Linked DNA regions of Mus musculus: regions 2, 3 and 4 are each reported to be linked to region 1. The links are microRNA targets in miRTarBase. Many come from high-throughput screens and were not tested one by one. Region 1 holds a microRNA gene; each other region holds the end of a gene's coding sequence. Distances are between the middles of the regions.

What was found. The annotated mature microRNA mmu-miR-574-5p reads UGAGUGUGUGUGUGUGAGUGUGU and lies in region 1 at 1,621-1,643, shown strand. An mRNA with a match to its seed (bases 2 to 7 or 8) in the 3' UTR can be bound and repressed. Matches are read on the target gene's strand: a 7mer-m8 pairs with bases 2 to 8, a 7mer-A1 pairs with bases 2 to 7 and ends in A, and an 8mer does both.
Region 2: the mRNA of Ppp1cb is a reported target of mmu-miR-574-5p. Seed matches in the 3' UTR shown: 7mer-A1 at 3,074-3,080.
Region 3: the mRNA of Mrap2 is a reported target of mmu-miR-574-5p. Seed matches in the 3' UTR shown: 7mer-m8 at 636-642.
Region 4: the mRNA of Tbc1d5 is a reported target of mmu-miR-574-5p. Seed matches in the 3' UTR shown: 7mer-A1 at 3,305-3,311.

What each region holds. Positions count from the first base shown.
Region 1 is chr5:64,968,708-64,972,773 of GRCm38, forward strand. It overlaps Mir574 (microRNA 574), which reads left to right and starts at 1,611; the gene lies at 1,611-1,688. Fam114a1 (family with sequence similarity 114, member A1) reads left to right here and starts at 1,368. Exons shown (of 14, transcript NM_026667.3): 1 at 1,368-1,437. It also overlaps a transcript of Tlr6 not described here.
Region 2 is chr5:32,490,442-32,494,507 of GRCm38, forward strand. Ppp1cb (protein phosphatase 1 catalytic subunit beta) reads left to right here. Exons shown (of 8, transcript NM_172707.3): 8 at 513-3,271. The coding sequence ends at 617. Among named protein-coding and RNA genes, the nearest start is that of Ppp1cb, 34 kb to the left of the region's middle.
Region 3 is chr9:87,182,260-87,186,325 of GRCm38, forward strand. Mrap2 (melanocortin 2 receptor accessory protein 2) reads left to right here. Exons shown (of 5, transcript NM_001177731.1): 5 at 182-1,786. The coding sequence ends at 572. Among named protein-coding and RNA genes, the nearest start is that of Mrap2, 40 kb to the left of the region's middle.
Region 4 is chr17:50,732,340-50,736,405 of GRCm38, forward strand. It overlaps Tbc1d5 (TBC1 domain family, member 5), which reads right to left. Exons shown (of 22, transcript NM_028162.4): 22 at 788-3,905. The coding sequence ends at 3,606. Among named protein-coding and RNA genes, the nearest start is that of Gm41598, 56 kb to the right of the region's middle.

The DNA.
Region 1 (4,066 bases):
TCACTATCAGAGGGAAACAAATAAACGAAGTAATGGAAGCAAATGCAAATACCTGAACTAGCTTAGAGATCCAAAACTATCAGTCTTGAATGGCCCCACTCAGAGCCCCTCCCACTCTGAACATTTTTTCTCATCTTCCTAAAAAGAAAAAAGAAAAGAGCAACAAACTAGCAGAAGTCAACTGTCTTAGGGTTTCACTGCTGTGAGCAGACACCATGACCGTGTCAACTCTTATAAGGACAACATTTAATTGGAACTGGCTTATAGGTTCAGAGGTTCAGTCCATCATCATCAAGGCGAGAGCATGGCAGCATCCAGGCAGGCATGGTGCAGGAGGAGCTGAGAGTTCTAAGTCTTCATCTGAAAGCTGCTAGCAGAGCAGTGCCTTTCAGGCAGTCCATAGGATGAGGGTCTTAAGTCCATGCCCACAGTGACACACCTACTCCAAGGCCACTCCCACTACAACAAGGCCACACCTCCTAATAGTGCCACTCCCTGGCTCAAGCATATAAGTTACACCAACAACTGACTACTTAAAATTAAGAACTCCAGGGTGGTGAAAAGTCCCCCCAAGCACACAAAGTTCTATTCTAACAGGTGTTTATTGTTTGCAACTGCACAGAAATGCACAAGCAACTCCTCAAAGGAAAGAAACACACACAAACGGAAGCTGCCTAAAAAGAGAGAGCAGCTTACAAAGAGAAAACCAGAAAGGGGGCGCGCATGAGAAATGGTGACCAGTCAAACCTTGGAGACGCATACCTTTAATCCTAGGCAGAGGCTGGCAGAGGTCTGAGTACAAGGCCAGCCTGGTCTACAGAGTGAGATCTAGGACAGCCAGGGCGACACGGAGAAACTACGTGGTGCAAACCCCATCCCATTCCGCCCCACCCTACCCTACCCCCTGCTGCCATCAGGGAGGGGAGGGGAGGGGAGGGGAGATTTTGTTTGCTTTGGACAAATACATTTTCCACGCCAAACGCAGATGTGCAATGCCCAGGCCAAAGAGAATGAATTTGGGCTTTGATCCACATTTCCAAGCTGGCCTTCTAGAAAGCATGGCTCCTTTGAGTCTTTTTACTTTTGTTTCTAATCACATCCCACTCCCATCGCTGACGTGGTCAGAGAATTCCACCTAATTTAGAACCGGGAAATCCCACGGTGAGGCTAGGGGACTCCTTACAACCTGCAGGGCTTCCCCAGTGCTTCGTAATGGAAGGCAGGGGACCCCGCGCTCTGCCCCGACCACCGATCTGGGACGGCGGAGTTCGGAGTTCGCAGCAGGTCAGGGTGCAGTGGGGCCGGGCAGAGGCAGAGGAGGGCGGCCCGGGGCGGGGCAGCTTGGCCGGTCCCTCCCCTGCGGCCGCGTCCCCGCCGGTCCTGCCGACGTGGCGGGGCGGGACCCGGGACTCCCGCGCGCACTCGGCCGGCCAAGCGGTAAGAGCCCGGGGCGCCCTCTCCCCATCCCCTTCCCGGGCGGGAGGGGACCAGCGCGCCGCGACCCTTGTCCGCTGTAGGGTGTGAGAAATCACCGGCGGGGAACCGTCCCGAGAAAGCAACTTGCTTGGGCACGAAGGTCGGGGGAGACGCGGCCGAGGGCCCTGCGTGGGTGCGGGCGTGTGAGTGTGTGTGTGTGAGTGTGTGTCGCTCCAAGTCCACGCTCATGCACACACCCACACGCCCGCACGCCCGGTCTGCACCCTCGTCCGGCCTGGAGCTCCGTGGAGTCCGCTGCCAGAGGCTAGGCACAAGCCAGTCTGGAAAGTTTCCCCAAGTGTCCCAAGTCTGGGGTGGGCTGTAGGGTCCTCCCAGCGCGACGCTCTGAGGGATCCAGTTCTTGCTAGTCAAAGACCTCCATTCCTAGGGTGAGCTTGTCCTCCCCCTGGGAAAACCGAGCACAGGCCTTGACCTCCATCCTGATCCATCATCTTTCCCTGGCATGCCCCACACCCAGCATGCCTGCGCTCCTGCCCCCCTGAAACACCTTAAGCTAGCACCGTTTGCATTCCCAGGACCCTCTTGGGCCCCCTCTTCCCCACCCCAAAGGCAGCCCCTTTACCCAGCCAGCTTGTCTTCTCCGAGGAATCTGGTGAGTATTTCCCAGCTGTCAGTCAGTCCCCACTTGGATTTCACTGGCTTTTCTTAAAGAAGGAGGACTTTCGGCAGACTATGGGAGCACTCTCTGGGCCATACCATCAGTGTCCACCCCTGAACCTCTTGATAGAAGCTGATGGCTTTTTAAATCAGCAGTCCTTGAACTCCTCCCTGGGACACCAGAACAAGAGAAACAAGGTCATTCCGAGAAGCCTCTCTTAGCTCACCTGGCTTCCTAGAGTTCTTTCCTCCCCAGCCCATATCCTAGACTCTCTCCTCCATTTCCTCTATCAATCCTGAAATGTTCTGATTAAACTTCTTACATTGAAAGCTGCCAGCGATGGAATGAAACTCCAAGGGTGGGATTTGAAGCACAAGTTAGCCAGTGTAGAAGGAATTTGGGGACGGGGGGTGGGGGGTGGGGGGCGGGGTGTTAGGGGGTGGGGGGCTTCCTGAATCTTGGGGATTCAGAAGTGTAAGTAGTTATTTCTTTCATCAGAGCAGGCTTATGTGAGACATCGTTTTTCGTTCAAATCAATATCAAACACAGTATATATCAGTTGAGTAAATATTTGTGGGTCAGAACGAAGCAAGGGCTCGTGGTTCACAGGCTTGAAGGGTGACATAGACGAGTCTTCCAAAGGCATTAGAGAAGTCTGTGGAAGTCTCAGAAGAAGAGAAACAGGAGCAGTTAAATTTTTAGGAGGATATGGAGTAGACAAAGATCAACTTCAAAGTTAAGGATGACACTAAGATGCTGGGTAGTCATGGAAACCGAAATTGGCCTGACCAGAAGACAAAGCATCAGTACAGGCAGCCAGCCTGGAGGTTTAGGAGCAGTGTGAAGAGAGAGGACCAGTGCTGAGGGGAACAAAAGTTTAAGTGCTGAGTTGCAAGAGATAGAGTTGTGTGGACTGTGAAGGGCCACACAAACACTCGTGTTAGTATTTGTTTGTTCGTGTGGGTGAGTGGGTGTTTTGCCTGCATATGTGTGTCTGTGGGCCATGTATATGCAGTGCCCACTGAGGCCAGAAGAGGCCATTGGATTCTCCCCTCTGCTACCCCCTGCCTCCCCCGACACCCGGAGGGGAGCTGGAGTTATAGAGGGTTGTGAGCTGCTATGTGGGTGCTGGAAACCCAACCCATGCAAGACCTCTGGAAGAGCAGCCTGTGCTCTTAACCACTGAGCCACCTCTCTAGCCCCCACTTAGTTTATAAACAGCGCAAATACAGTTGTCTTCTGTGATTCCAAAAATACCTGCCAGGTATAGAGGCAGGCCTGGAGTCAGAGTGTATGCACTGTGAGAACTGGACAGATCTGGGAGCCTCTCCTCTGTGAGTTTACTCTGAGTCACACTTTTGTAAAGTAAGAGAGACAATCTGGGACAAGTATCATGTAACCACATTTTTAAGTGAGGCCACTTAAAAAGGAAGCCATCTACTGTCACTACATTTTCGTGACATTTTAATACCAAGAAAAGCACCGGTGCTAAATGGCCCAATGAAGACAGAGCATTACTTCCAATAAATTTAGACTTAGGAAAATCTTGAAACCCTCTCTTCATTTTTCTCTGCAGTCAGGACTTGGGAACAAAGTTTCCAGATCAGGTTATCCATTCCAGCTTGACACACAGGAGGGAGCTGAAAGTCGGTGAGAACGAGTGAGTTGTTTGCCTACAAAGAGACACTGCAGTCAGACCCAGAGGCCACTGTTTGGGCTTTCCACTTCAGAATCCGACTCACTGTTCCTCCGTGCAGCCTCTGCTCTCAGACACACAGATGTGTATCATGGCCCTCTAGAGCTCATTTCTGATGTCTAGGTATTTGCACATACTCCCATCAGCCCGAATACTCATGCCAAAGGCATGGTCAAGATTCTCCCTTGCTCTAGTTCAGGGCGTTGTTTATTATGCTGTTTTGCATAGTTCTTTCTCTAGTTTTCTTTCTCTTTAATTTAATATTTTTTCAGTGC
Region 2 (4,066 bases), 32 Mb from region 1:
CTTTAAGTAAGACTTACCTGTATATGAAATATACAGTGGCTTACGCCTATAATCTCAACATTCAAAATGGTGAGGCAGAAGGATTGCCACAAATTTGAGGTTGGCCTGACTACACCAACAGCGTATCTCAAAAAACCTGGGGGAAAGGTCAGATTTAGATGAGAACCTAGGGTTTTTGACTCAGACCAGTATTTTTTCCTCTCTAATAAGGTGAACTAGTAGAGAAGATTCTTTAAAACTTAAATTTAAGCCTCAGTTATGAGGCTGTCTATCTAAGCTGTGTTTCTAGAATCTAAAGCAAATGTTAAGCAAGTGTTCTTCCTTGGGGGAGGGCGGTGCTGCAGACCAAATCCAGGCACTTCCTATTGAGCTGCTCGGCCAAACTTACACTTCAATCTAAGAAATGTTTGTGCAGAATTGCTAAGGTATTTTTATTTTCACTGGACAGTTGATGGCATTTATTGAAAGAATAATATTGTTAATAAACACATTATTTATTTATTTATTTAAAGATATTGAAACCATCTGAAAAGAAAGCTAAGTACCAGTATGGTGGGCTGAATTCTGGACGTCCTGTCACTCCGCCTCGAACAGCTAATCCACCGAAGAAAAGGTGAAGACAGGAATTCTAGAAAGAGAAACCATCAGATTTGTTAAGGACATACTTCATAATATATAAGTGTGCACTGTAAAACCATCCAGCCATTCGACACCCTTTATGATGTCACACCTTTAACTTAAGGAGACGGTAAAGGATCTTAAATTTTTTTCTAATAGAAAGATGTGCTACACTGTATTGTAATAAGTATACTCTGTTATAATATTCAACAAAATTAAATCCAAATTCAAAAGTATCCATTAAAGTTCTATCTTCTCATATCACAGTTTTTAAAGTTGAAAAGCATCCCAGTTAAACTAGCCCTGTTAGTGACCCAGATGAAAGCATGAAGATCCATCTGTGTAATGTGGTTTTAGTGGTGCTTGGTTGTTTCATTATTTTGAGCTTGTTTTGTTTTGTTTGTTTTTGCTAGAATAATGGCATCTACTTTTCCTATTTTTCCCTAAACATTTTTAAAAGTGAAAATGGGAAGAGCTTTAAAGACATTCACCAACTATTCTTTTCCTTTACTTATCTACTTAAGTAACTGTTGGATCTTACTAAGAAAACTTACCCCTCATTACAGTAAAAAGGAACTTTAGAGGTCGATAGGTTTTAAAAATATACAAACTATCTGATCCATTGATTTTAATCAAACAGTTTGACTGGGCAAACTTTGCAGCTGATAATGAGTATTTCGCTTTTTACAAAATTGCCACTGATTTGGATTTGTGCACTCTAATCTTTAATTTATTGATGCTCTATTGTGCAGTAGCATTTCATTTAAGATAAGGCTCATATAGTAATATCCAAAACTAGTTGGTAATGTGATTATGTGGTACTTTGGCTTTGGGTTCTAATTCGCACGAAACACCTTTTGGCATGCTTAACTTTCTGGTATTACCCTCACCTGCATTGGTTTTGTTTTTTGGGGTTTTTGTTGTTTGTTTGTTTTTAGATTCACAGAACATGAGAATCCTTTTTGACAAGCCTTGGATAGCTGGCTCTCTTCTTTCCCTCTCTCTATGTGAAGGATGTATTTAAATGAACGCTGGTCAGTGGGACATTTGTCAGCTCTGAATATTGGGTGCTTCACTAATAATTGCCATGTGAATGTTGTTTTGACTGTAAGGCTATGTCACTAAAGATTTTTACTCTGCGTTTTCATAATCAAAGGTCATGATGTGTATAGACATGCTTTGTAGTGAAGTATAGTAGCAATAATTTCTGTATGTGATCAAGAGTTTATTGCATTATTTCTTTCCCTGTTCTCTTTTTTTTTTTTTTAAGGGTTAGCATTAACAAATGTCAAGGAGTAGCAAAGTCAACAAAGATTTTAGAAGGAGGAGGAACTAAGAGCATACACAGACTTATGATTCTTTGGATGTGACACTTATTGGATGTGATTCTAAAGTCTTTTATTGAACATTGTCAAATTCGTACGCTTCATAGGATGGACATAATGTTTATATAATGCCCTTCTTATGTGTTACCATAGATGTGTGAAACCTTATAGCGTCCTTGAAAGTGTTAAATTGAGAACTCTGTTAACATTTTATGGATTGACACATTATATTACTGCAAGTAACATTTGATTTTCAGCACAGTGCAAAAGTTCTTTAAAATGCATATGTCTTTTTTTTTCTAATTCCATTTTGTTTAAAGCACATTTTAAATGTAGTTTTCTCATTTAGTAAAAGTTGTCTAATTGATACAACGTCTGAGTGATTATTCTGTGTTGTTTTGTTTTACAGTGAGATATGTAAGCACAAGTTGACATAGACTGAAGCATAGACAGTCTCTGAGCTGTAGCCATGTTCTATTAGGTCACACATGCTTTTATTTAATGCGATTGGATAACTTACATACTAGAGTAAACGAACAATTGTTTACTCAAACAATTGCTAATAGGATTTTAGATGTTATCTCTGAGTAATCAATACTTAAGGTAGCTCAAGAAAATAAGCCTTAGTCTCAATATTAGTTAATGTACACTAATTTGTATCTTAAACTGTTTTGTTTTTTGTAAATGTTCATTCAAATTAAAACTAGGGGCGAAAAGTAAGCAAATTAGTATTGGTTGTTAAAGGATAGACATTTACCATGTTGGAAAATTATTCAGACCTCTTAAAACTACTTTACAGCTTCTCATATATAAGTACTCAGTACATCATGTGCTCCTAAGAATGATAACACAGATTATTAATTATACTAGTTTACTGACAAAGTCACAAAGACAAACAGTAAAATACAGGCTACCTTTAACCCCATGATTGGTGAGGCAGACAGAGACAGGTGAATCTATGACTTGAAGCCTAGACTACATGTTACAGTGTCTGTTTACTAGATGAAAAGCTACAAGCAATTGCAGAGAATTTGGGTTCAATTCTTTTTTTTTTTTTTTACACGTATTTTCCTCAAATTACATTTCCAATGCTATCTCAAAAGTCCCCCACACCCTGGGTTCTATTCTTAACACTCAGAAGGCTGTCTGTATGGCTAAGCCAAGGGGATCTGCTGTTTTATGCCCTCTGAGGGCACCAGGCACACACATGGCACACATGGTGGGTACATAGACATACATATAGGCAAAATCCTCATACACATAAAAATAAAATGTTTAAAGGATTTTTTTATTAAGTGTTGAGCAAATAAAATGAGTTTTTTGATTGGAGCAGTTGTCACTGTTTTTGTCGTTGTTTTTTTGTTTGTTTAGAGACAGAGTCAAGTCCAGGTTGGCTTCCAGCTCTAGTCTCCTGCCTTAGCTCCATGAGTGCTGACACTATAGGTGGGATCCATGCTGGGTTAAAACAGCCAAGTCTAGGTTGGCTTCCAGCTCTAGTCTCCTGCCTTAGCTCTGTGAGTGCTGACACTGTAGGTGGGATCCATGCTGGGTTAGAACAGCCGTGTTAGTTTATAACCCTCTATAACTGGTAGCTTCTAAAAATGCCTTAGAAACTATCTGTGGCAGAACTCATGAACCTGTTTAGCATAACAAATTAAGCTACTTGCTGCTTCAGAAAGTTGTGTTTTGTTTTTTGTCTTTTAAGATTTACTCATTTATATAATGTATATGAGTGCTTTTGCCTGTGTGTATGTGTGTGCACCACATGGGTGCCTGGTGGGTGTGTTGAATCTTCTAGAATTGGATGTATGGATGTTGTGAGTCATCATGGGTGTTAGGAATGCAGCCTGGATCCTGTGCAAGAGCAACAAGTGCTCTTAACTCCAGCCCCTGCTTAAAAACAATCTTACTGTGAGCTGTAGTGACACACACCTATAATCTTAGCAGTTGGAGGCAGGATGATCAGGAATTCTAAGGCCAGACTGAGCTACAAAAGACCCTGTCTTAACCACATATGGGAGTTGTGGGGGAGGCTAGTTTAAGTTTAAAATAGTTTAAGTGACTGACTATTTTAGTGTTCAACCCTAAACCCATCTAGAGCCCAACCCACACTCCAGTCTCAG
Region 3 (4,066 bases), not on the chromosome of region 1:
TCCATCTGGAGGTCTGTGTTCAGAAGTGATGTGCCTCACTGCTGATGCTGGTCTTCATAACCTAAGAGACACCAAGTAGATGCTTTCTGGGACTCTCCTGGCCTGGCCTCCACACAGGACAGCATGAGGCGGTAGGCGTGTAGGCTGGCAGATCTGTGACCTCTCCTTTTCTTCTTTACAGCAACGCGGAGTCCTCAGAGAGGAGGTTCCGCATGAACAGCTTTGTGTCAGACTTCGGGAAGCCGCTGGAGTCAGACAAGGTGTTTTCTCGTCAGGGCAACGAGGAGTCCAGGTCTCTGTTCCACTGTTACATCAATGAAGTAGAACACTTGGACAGGGTTAAAGTTTGCCACCAAACAACAGCCATCGACAGTGATGTCCACCTCCAGGAAGCCAGCAGAAGCAGTGGGAGGCCTGAGGAGGAGCTAGCCAGGTTCATGAAGTTTGACATCCCCAACTTTGTGAACACAGAGCAGAGCTCCTTTGGGGAGGATGATCTCCTGATTTCGGAAGCACCCGTTCTTCTAGAAAACAAGCCAGTTTCCCAGACATCACGCATAGACCTGGACTGAGAGACACTTGTGCCTTACTGAGGATGTGTTCTGTCTCTGTACAGCAAGAAACCGCAAGCTACCCACACTCGTGTGTGTGTGTGTGTGTGTGTGTGTGTGTGTGTGTGTAGAGAGAGAGAGAGAGAGAGAGAGAGAGAGAGAGAGAGAGAGGAGGTGAGGGAGGGGGAGAGGACTAGGCTAGGACTGGGATGTGATAGAGGGGCAGAATTTGGAGATGGAAGGCACCATTTTGGTTTGGGGGAGATGATATTTTTCTTTTTTGGATTAAAAAAATGCATTGACAGTATTAAGGCTTCTTTATTGAAACAATTAGCCACATATATGCAATTGAGCCCCCTCCTGGGTGAGGGTTAGGTTACTGCAGTCTGATCTAGCCCTTTCCCACCATTCTCTGCCTGTAACAAGTTGCTTTACCTCTCTGGACTGCCATGGTTTTACATGTAAGGTGGCCTGTCTGGAGTAGATGACCTATCCCAGCTCTAGAATTTTTGTGGCTTTCAGACTTAGCGTTTAAGACATGCTAAGAAACACATAAACAGTAGATAATAGAACATGGCACCCTGGCTTTCAGGGCAGGTTCTCCAGGGCTTGGTACCCTCCCTTTGCTCAGCCCTTCACAGAGTCTCACTTTAGCTAGGGAAACCTTTACCAGGAGCACAGGAGCCTCACATGCACTGTGGACAGTGTCTCTGCGAGTTTTGCCGCAGCAGTTTATGTGATGAACTCCACCCACCCCGGCTTTAAACTGGGGCAGCTTTGACTCCAGTGAGTACCAGCCTAAACTGTTTCACAAGCATCCGTGCTCTCAAAAACTGCTAGGGCAGATTGTCATCTGCCTGATGTGGGTCCCTTCTCGGTGTCTCCGAGTTTGCATCCTGTGCTCGCGCTTCTGAACTCTTTGGCTTCAGAACAAGACGCTCCTTGCCATGGTCTGCGTGGCAGATGTGTGGGTGTCGGCTGCCTGGCTTGGAGCTGAGAGGGTCAGTGGGTTGTTTGTGCCACAGTAGCAGATGTTCAGGATTGCGATGATAATTTGAGCAACATGATGTTCATTTCGTGGAGGAAGCAACCCTTTGCTGGTGTCGGAAAGAACTCAGCCTTGCACACAGAGAGTTGTATGCATGAGCAGCTGCTAATCGATGGGTGGCATCTACTTTACGAATTTGTTCACCCTTTGTCTTGCTTAAGTTGCATAATAAATGCATTTGATCGCACAGGAATTTTCTCTGCTTTGATTTTCACACAGGCAAGTTTCCATTCCTCTAAAAAGCTATCCTATGCTGTGCCTAAATATCTCCCTGATTTCTGAGAGAGTGTGTGTGCTGACGGCGTCTCAGAGCCACACAGGCGATTCGTTTGGGAACAAGTCCACCCAAGGAAATCCCTTTCCCATAATGTCTTCAAAAGGAAGTATGATTCTTTAAGAGAGTAACATGAAGTAGTAGAGCAGAACATGAACTAGTTACTATAGTATCATTAAAGCCACTTTGAGTTCTTACAGATAGAGACATGCTTCCTTCATGTATATTTTTACCCAATGCAACAATATTGATCTTACTAATCTGCCCGAGTATTAGCGTAATTCTTTCAACTATATATAAATACACATCGTGAACTACTTCTTAATTATTCATGAAAACTATTCAAGAGACACCATATTGTGAAGTTAATTAGCTAGAAGAAGACCTGGAGTCCTAAACAGAAGAAAGTCCCTGAGTTATCACAATTTTAAGTACTGAATGTTAAGGATCATGAAAAACCGAATACTTTACAACCTCTTACAAGTGAAGAGGCTAGGCTCTCTCAGTCCCCTAAATGCTTCCAGCAGACACAAGATTTCTGAGCAAGACCAAGAACTTCTGTTCAGCCAGTCCAGCAGGCTACAGGTGCATCACAGGGATGTTGGTTCTGAGTTAATTTTCCATTGCTGTTAATTTTTCATGCTGTTATATGTCTTTAAACAACATGAACTTCTTATCATCCTAGTACACAAGTCTAAAACCATTCCCAGATAGCTAAAAACAAAGTATTAACTTGGCTGTGTTCCATCTAGAAAAGTTCTGGTTTGGATGTGCCATATCCTCCCAGGGCTCCTGGGTTGGGGACTTGGTCCCCAGCATAGCAAAGACCATAGGTGGCAAGAATCCCAGAAGAATCTAATCCATGATTGGATCTAAAGGGCTCTGAGCTCATTATGGATTAGTTAATGGGTTCCTAGTTTAATGGACTAACAGAAGTGACAGAAACATAGAGGCAGAGAACCTAGTTGTTGGCATGCTTTGGGAAGCTGGGTCTCGTTGCTGACCCTTCTGTGCCCTGGTCACCATGAGGTGAGCAGTCTCCTTCTCTATACACTCTTGCAGTCATGCTGTACTTCCACTGGCCCAGAAAGGATGCACCAAATGACCATGGATTTGAGGTCTCTGAAACCATGAGCCCAAATACACTTTTCATTAATTTCTTTCAGAGAAAGCTAACATAGGAGGCTCTGGAAAAATCTATTTTCTTGCCTTCATCAGTTTCTACAGGTGGCTCAATCTGTGGATCGTGACCTCATGTCACTGTGAGCTCTTCTTTTGCTTTCTGCCTCTGACGGCCCTGTGTCCTCCTTGCCAAGACTCTGGTGGTTACATTGGATTACCGAGGATAACTCATGTCAGGTCTCTTCCTGATCTCATCTGCCAAAGTCCCCTTTGTCATGAAAGGTAACACAGAACTAGTTTCCAGAGACAAGATATGGACATATTGAGAGCCAGCAGCCTTTCTTCCCTGTCTTCCTTGGCCTAGCTCATCCTCCATGTAAAATAAAGTTATTTCAAAATGCTAGCGTTGCAATCCATTACAGTATCAACTCCAAGCTGCATATTGTCATTATTTTAGCCATCTAAGCCAGATGTTAGTGAGTCTTGGGGAAAGTCATCTCCATCTACAGACCTATAGAACTAGAAGACATTTTTTTTGGTCCCTTGATATTACAAGTCTAAGATACAGAATATAAAATTTCTGTTCATGGGTCACAAGGGACCAAAAAATTTCTAAACCCCAAGGGTGGCAATTCCACTAGGCTTCAAGGCTGTAGCTTGTGGTGATATTCCCTCCTCACCTAAGAATTAACCTAGCCTGATGCCAAGCTTCCAAGGTCAGACAAAACTGGGCACATTCATGGTAGCACAGCAGTGGACTCTATATTCTAAGCCTAGTACTCTACTTTTGGATTGGTCCTTTGTCGTTCAGTGGGTGAATGTGGCATTAGCTGAGTATTTACCAGTCTGTTTCTCCATGAAGAATTACCTTGTCTCTTTTCCACTTTGGCTTATTCAAGACAGCTAATTCCCTGTAGAGAGAATAGCTTGTGTATCGTATGGATGCATCACCTGTCAATTAAAAAACTGATGGCCTATGGTTCAGACAGGGAATGGAAGGTGGGACATCTGGGAGGAAAATGAATTCTGGCTTAGAGCCATGCACGGGAAGATCTGTTGGAGAAGTGAGGA
Region 4 (4,066 bases), not on the chromosome of region 1:
GACAGAAGCCACTCCAACATGGCGTCAGCCACAGAGGCCAGCTGGCAACTGGATAGGCCTCGGTTAAAACCTCCCATGTAGAGGGGCTGTCCTGGGTATGGATGAGCCCTGTGTAATTGCTCTTGTGTTTTGAACTAGGGCAGCCCTGCCTTGCCTGAAGGACTCACCCTTCAAGCCAGGCTCAACCTTTAGCCCAGAAGCAGGAAGGATGGAGAGGAGGCTCAACACGGGAGGAGCCTGTGACAGGAGCCCAATCTGACAGGAAACCCAGGGAACGGCTAGCACTGGCCTAGGATGTTCCTGAGGTAGAAGTGAGAGGTTCAGACCCCAGATCCTCTTAGGTAGAGCTAAGTAGGAAGAAATTCCTGTAGCATTGGTCAGCCGGCTTGTGGCTGCTGGGACATGCTGTGTCCACTGGCTGGCTGGGCTGGGTACACGGTAAGTGACTGCTCATGAACTGTTGTGGGTGGCGGTGGGGGCGGTGGGGGTGGGGGTGGGGGTGGGGGAGGGAGGCTTCTTCCTTCAGCAGCTCCTCCAGAGCCATGACTACTCCTGAAATGGAGCATCATTCCATAACCTTCCCTGGGACAGCAAGGGGTGAGAAGTGAGAAGCACTGGTGTCTTAGCGGTTAGGAAGCAGTCTCAGGAGACTATGAAGGTTGCCCATGCTGTAAAGGAAGGAAATGCTAGTGAGGGCGAGGCATGGCCAACACCAGCCCTGCTGGCCAGGCGCTTCCATGCTCTCCGGACCCCAGAGCTATGTGACTGGAAGAAGTGGATGTGATCCCAGTTCTCAGTAGTCCTTTATTAGTACACATCAAGTGGGCTCGCTCTGCCAAGGAGGCATTTCCTACATCAGTATGAGCTCCGGCACCAAGGCTCGTGAGGACATTGTTGGCACTGCTGGGATATCAACTAGATGAGCCGAGCCTCATGCACCGAAGGAAAACTTCCACACCAGCCTGGTTATAGGAACGACACCTCTTTTCAACAAGAGAGAAGCAGCTTTTGGGCCTAGCATGGAGGAGGCCATGTGATCTGTGAAGAGCCTGCCGCCACAGCTCTCCATGCACATGGCCTCTTCCCCAGCTCTCATTTCCTAGCAGTTCCAGGGTGGGGAAGGGAGATGGCACTGGCCGGTGCAGGGCCACAGGTGCTCCCCGCTTTGTCTTTAGTGGCCACTGGGAGAGCTTTTAGCAAGCAAAAGCAACCTGTACTGAACAGCAGGTTATACTAGAGTTTTGGCATTTGTCCAGCCTTTCTGACACTAAAGACATGGCTGGCAAGGTTGTCCAGCACAGCCAACCCGTGCGGAGGAGATTCACCCCTACGAGAACTGGGCTCCGGGGAGGCAGCTGCCCTCCAGAGTTACACTCAGCAGCAGTGTGGTCACTTCAAGTTGCAGTTAGTGCAGAGCAGAAGGTCATCTTGCCAAGCTAAGCCAGGAAGTTCTCGAGAACTGAACCGAGGCACTGAACCGACCCTCTGTGGCACACAGGTATGTTTTACTTCACACTTCCAATCTGATCAGAGAGGACTGCATGAAACACAGAAATGTGTATAAAAAAGCAGACGACAGTAGGGCTTAATCTAGGCTTGGCTTGTATAAAACTGTATTAGCTGCTATAATCAAAATGTGAGAGATTAAAACTGATGATTACCATGTGGTTAAAGAAAAAGGTTCTATATATCCAGGACTTTAAAATGTACAATTAGACAGAAGTACCTGATAAAATAACAGGGACGGAATGCATCCCAAACCAGCAGTGTAGGTAACCAAGGGAAGCAATGGTCACCAACGAAGAATAGAGTCACTTAGAGAAGAGCTTTCCATCCTTGGTTCTTCCAAGGAGAGAGTGGCCTGCCTAGGGACCATAGAAACATCTCAGTGTGAACCTGGGGTTCTCATGTGGCACCCACACAAGCACAGGAGCGGGGCACATCACGGGCATGGGCAGGGCAGGTAGGTCGAGGGGTTATGAAATGTCCATTCAAACAGTAATGGGTCAGCCTATCATCTTCTTGGCCTGGTGGGTAGCCAGTGATAGTTATCTATTGACCTTATTCTCAACGCAAAGGAGATGCTGGGGACAGGGCTCAGCAGTGACAGACATGGCCGGCACTGTCCCAGACCTGGATGGATCAGTCAATACTTCCCACACTAGATCTAAGGTACTGACACGGTTATGTCAAGGCTTTAAGTGGAATGCTTGCTGGAAGCCTTCTAGCAGGGATGGATGGTGGCCCTGATTCTTACAGAGCAGCTTCATGGGACATGTATGCAAGCAGGCTCCTCAGAATGCTGAGAAGACTGGTCAGAGGCAGGGGGTAGAATTCATGAGGCCATGACTGAGCCCCGCCACCATGTGAGTGAGCCACCAGCCCTGCTATGCAGTACAGCTAAGAAGCCTGCAGAGCATCCTGACATTAGCATTCCTGTCTGTAGAGAATTACAATGCTATTAGTGGGTGGGGCACTGCCCAGAGGCCCAGCTGCTCTCTGAGGAGGACAGAAGGCAGAGGTGACATCTAACAGATGCTACATCTATCCACCATTTCCACTGTCCCTAGCTTTGTGCCCAATACAGCTCTGTACTCGGCCAATAGACGGGGAGATGTCTCATGTATACCCAGCCCAGGCAGGGGCCCCGAGGCAGGCAGGCCCATCCTTGGAGTGTCTGGATGCAGAGTTTACAGCTGAGCTCCAAGAATAGGGTGTTGGGGGTTGAATAGGAGCCCTGTATCTTGTGGTACCTGGAACGCTCTACAGGAAACCTGCTCCCACAGAAGGAACTCCAGGTCTAATTCCCAGGAGGTCTGACTCCGGGTTGTGCGAATGTGGTTTTCCTCTGTGCTCCTCATTTAACAGGCCACTGTAGCTCTAAACATGCTCAGAGACCTGACCGGAGAGCTCTGGACACATTTCTCCAATTCAAGGATGTTAGCCCTGTGACTCTTAAAACCATCTCAGAGCAGACTGGCGTGGAGCCACTGCACTCCCGGCTGTGGGGACTCTGGAAGGAGAAATCCAGTTGTTCAAGGAGGAACAGCGGTGGCTGAAGCTTAGGAAGCCCAGGGTCCAGAACTGTATTTGTGTCAAACAAGAATCTGATTCCTAATCTGAAACCCTGCTCCTACAATTCACTCTGACTCCAGCCCTGGGAGCCACCCGCTCTGCTCCCTCTGTGTGGCATGTTGGGCTTCCAAGGCAGGAGTGAGACTGCCTGCCAGATTCACTCAGTATCAACAAGTTCCCTGTGGCTGAAGCTTTGATAAGGGGAAGTTGTGAAACCAACTTTTCCTTCTGAGTGTAAACTGGCAGAGCTGCTGGGGAGGAGGGGACGGAAGACATGTGGCTCTGATGTGGTCTGCTGTGTCTGACAGTGGGTATGGAGCTGGGGACCTGACCTGGCCCTAATTGGAACAAGGGTCACAGGGTCAGGTAAGGGTCTGGAAACCTCTATCTGCATTTTGGTAAACATAGTGCATTGAAAGAAGCATAGTTGCCTCTTTTTGTAAAGAGTTCCAGTGGGTTGAACCAATGCCAAATGCATGCTGGGAAAAAGACACTGGTTCAGCAGGGTGTCCGCCAGTGGGGCCCTGTGCTCAGATGTCCAAGGGGCTCACAATGGTGAAGCCAGACTCCTTGCTGCTGTCATCATCGGGGCTGGAGCTGGGGTTGCTGGAGGAGGCTGAGGCTGAGGCTGGGCCCATCAGTGGGTCTGAGAACAGCAGTGGGGAGCAGGCTGGGGCTCGGCTTTTCCCAGATGTGCTTCTGAGGGTGAGAAGAGGCTGGGCCTGGCCTGAGAAGGCCCCCCTGGCACGGTGCCCCTCATCTTCTTTGGAAACCAGAATGAAGTCATCTGGGGTCGTTCCACCGGTGCACCCTGGCATCTCTGAAGAGGCCTGTGAAGTAAAAGCAGAGGAGAAGGCCTGTGACTGCAGGGGTGACTGACAGCACTCAACAGAGGCCTGGGTGGAGTGGCATGGAGGCCAGATGGCCATCTCTTCCTGCACCCAGTTTGGAAAGATGCCTGGTTTGTCCTGCTGCTGCTCCGAGGCCTGGA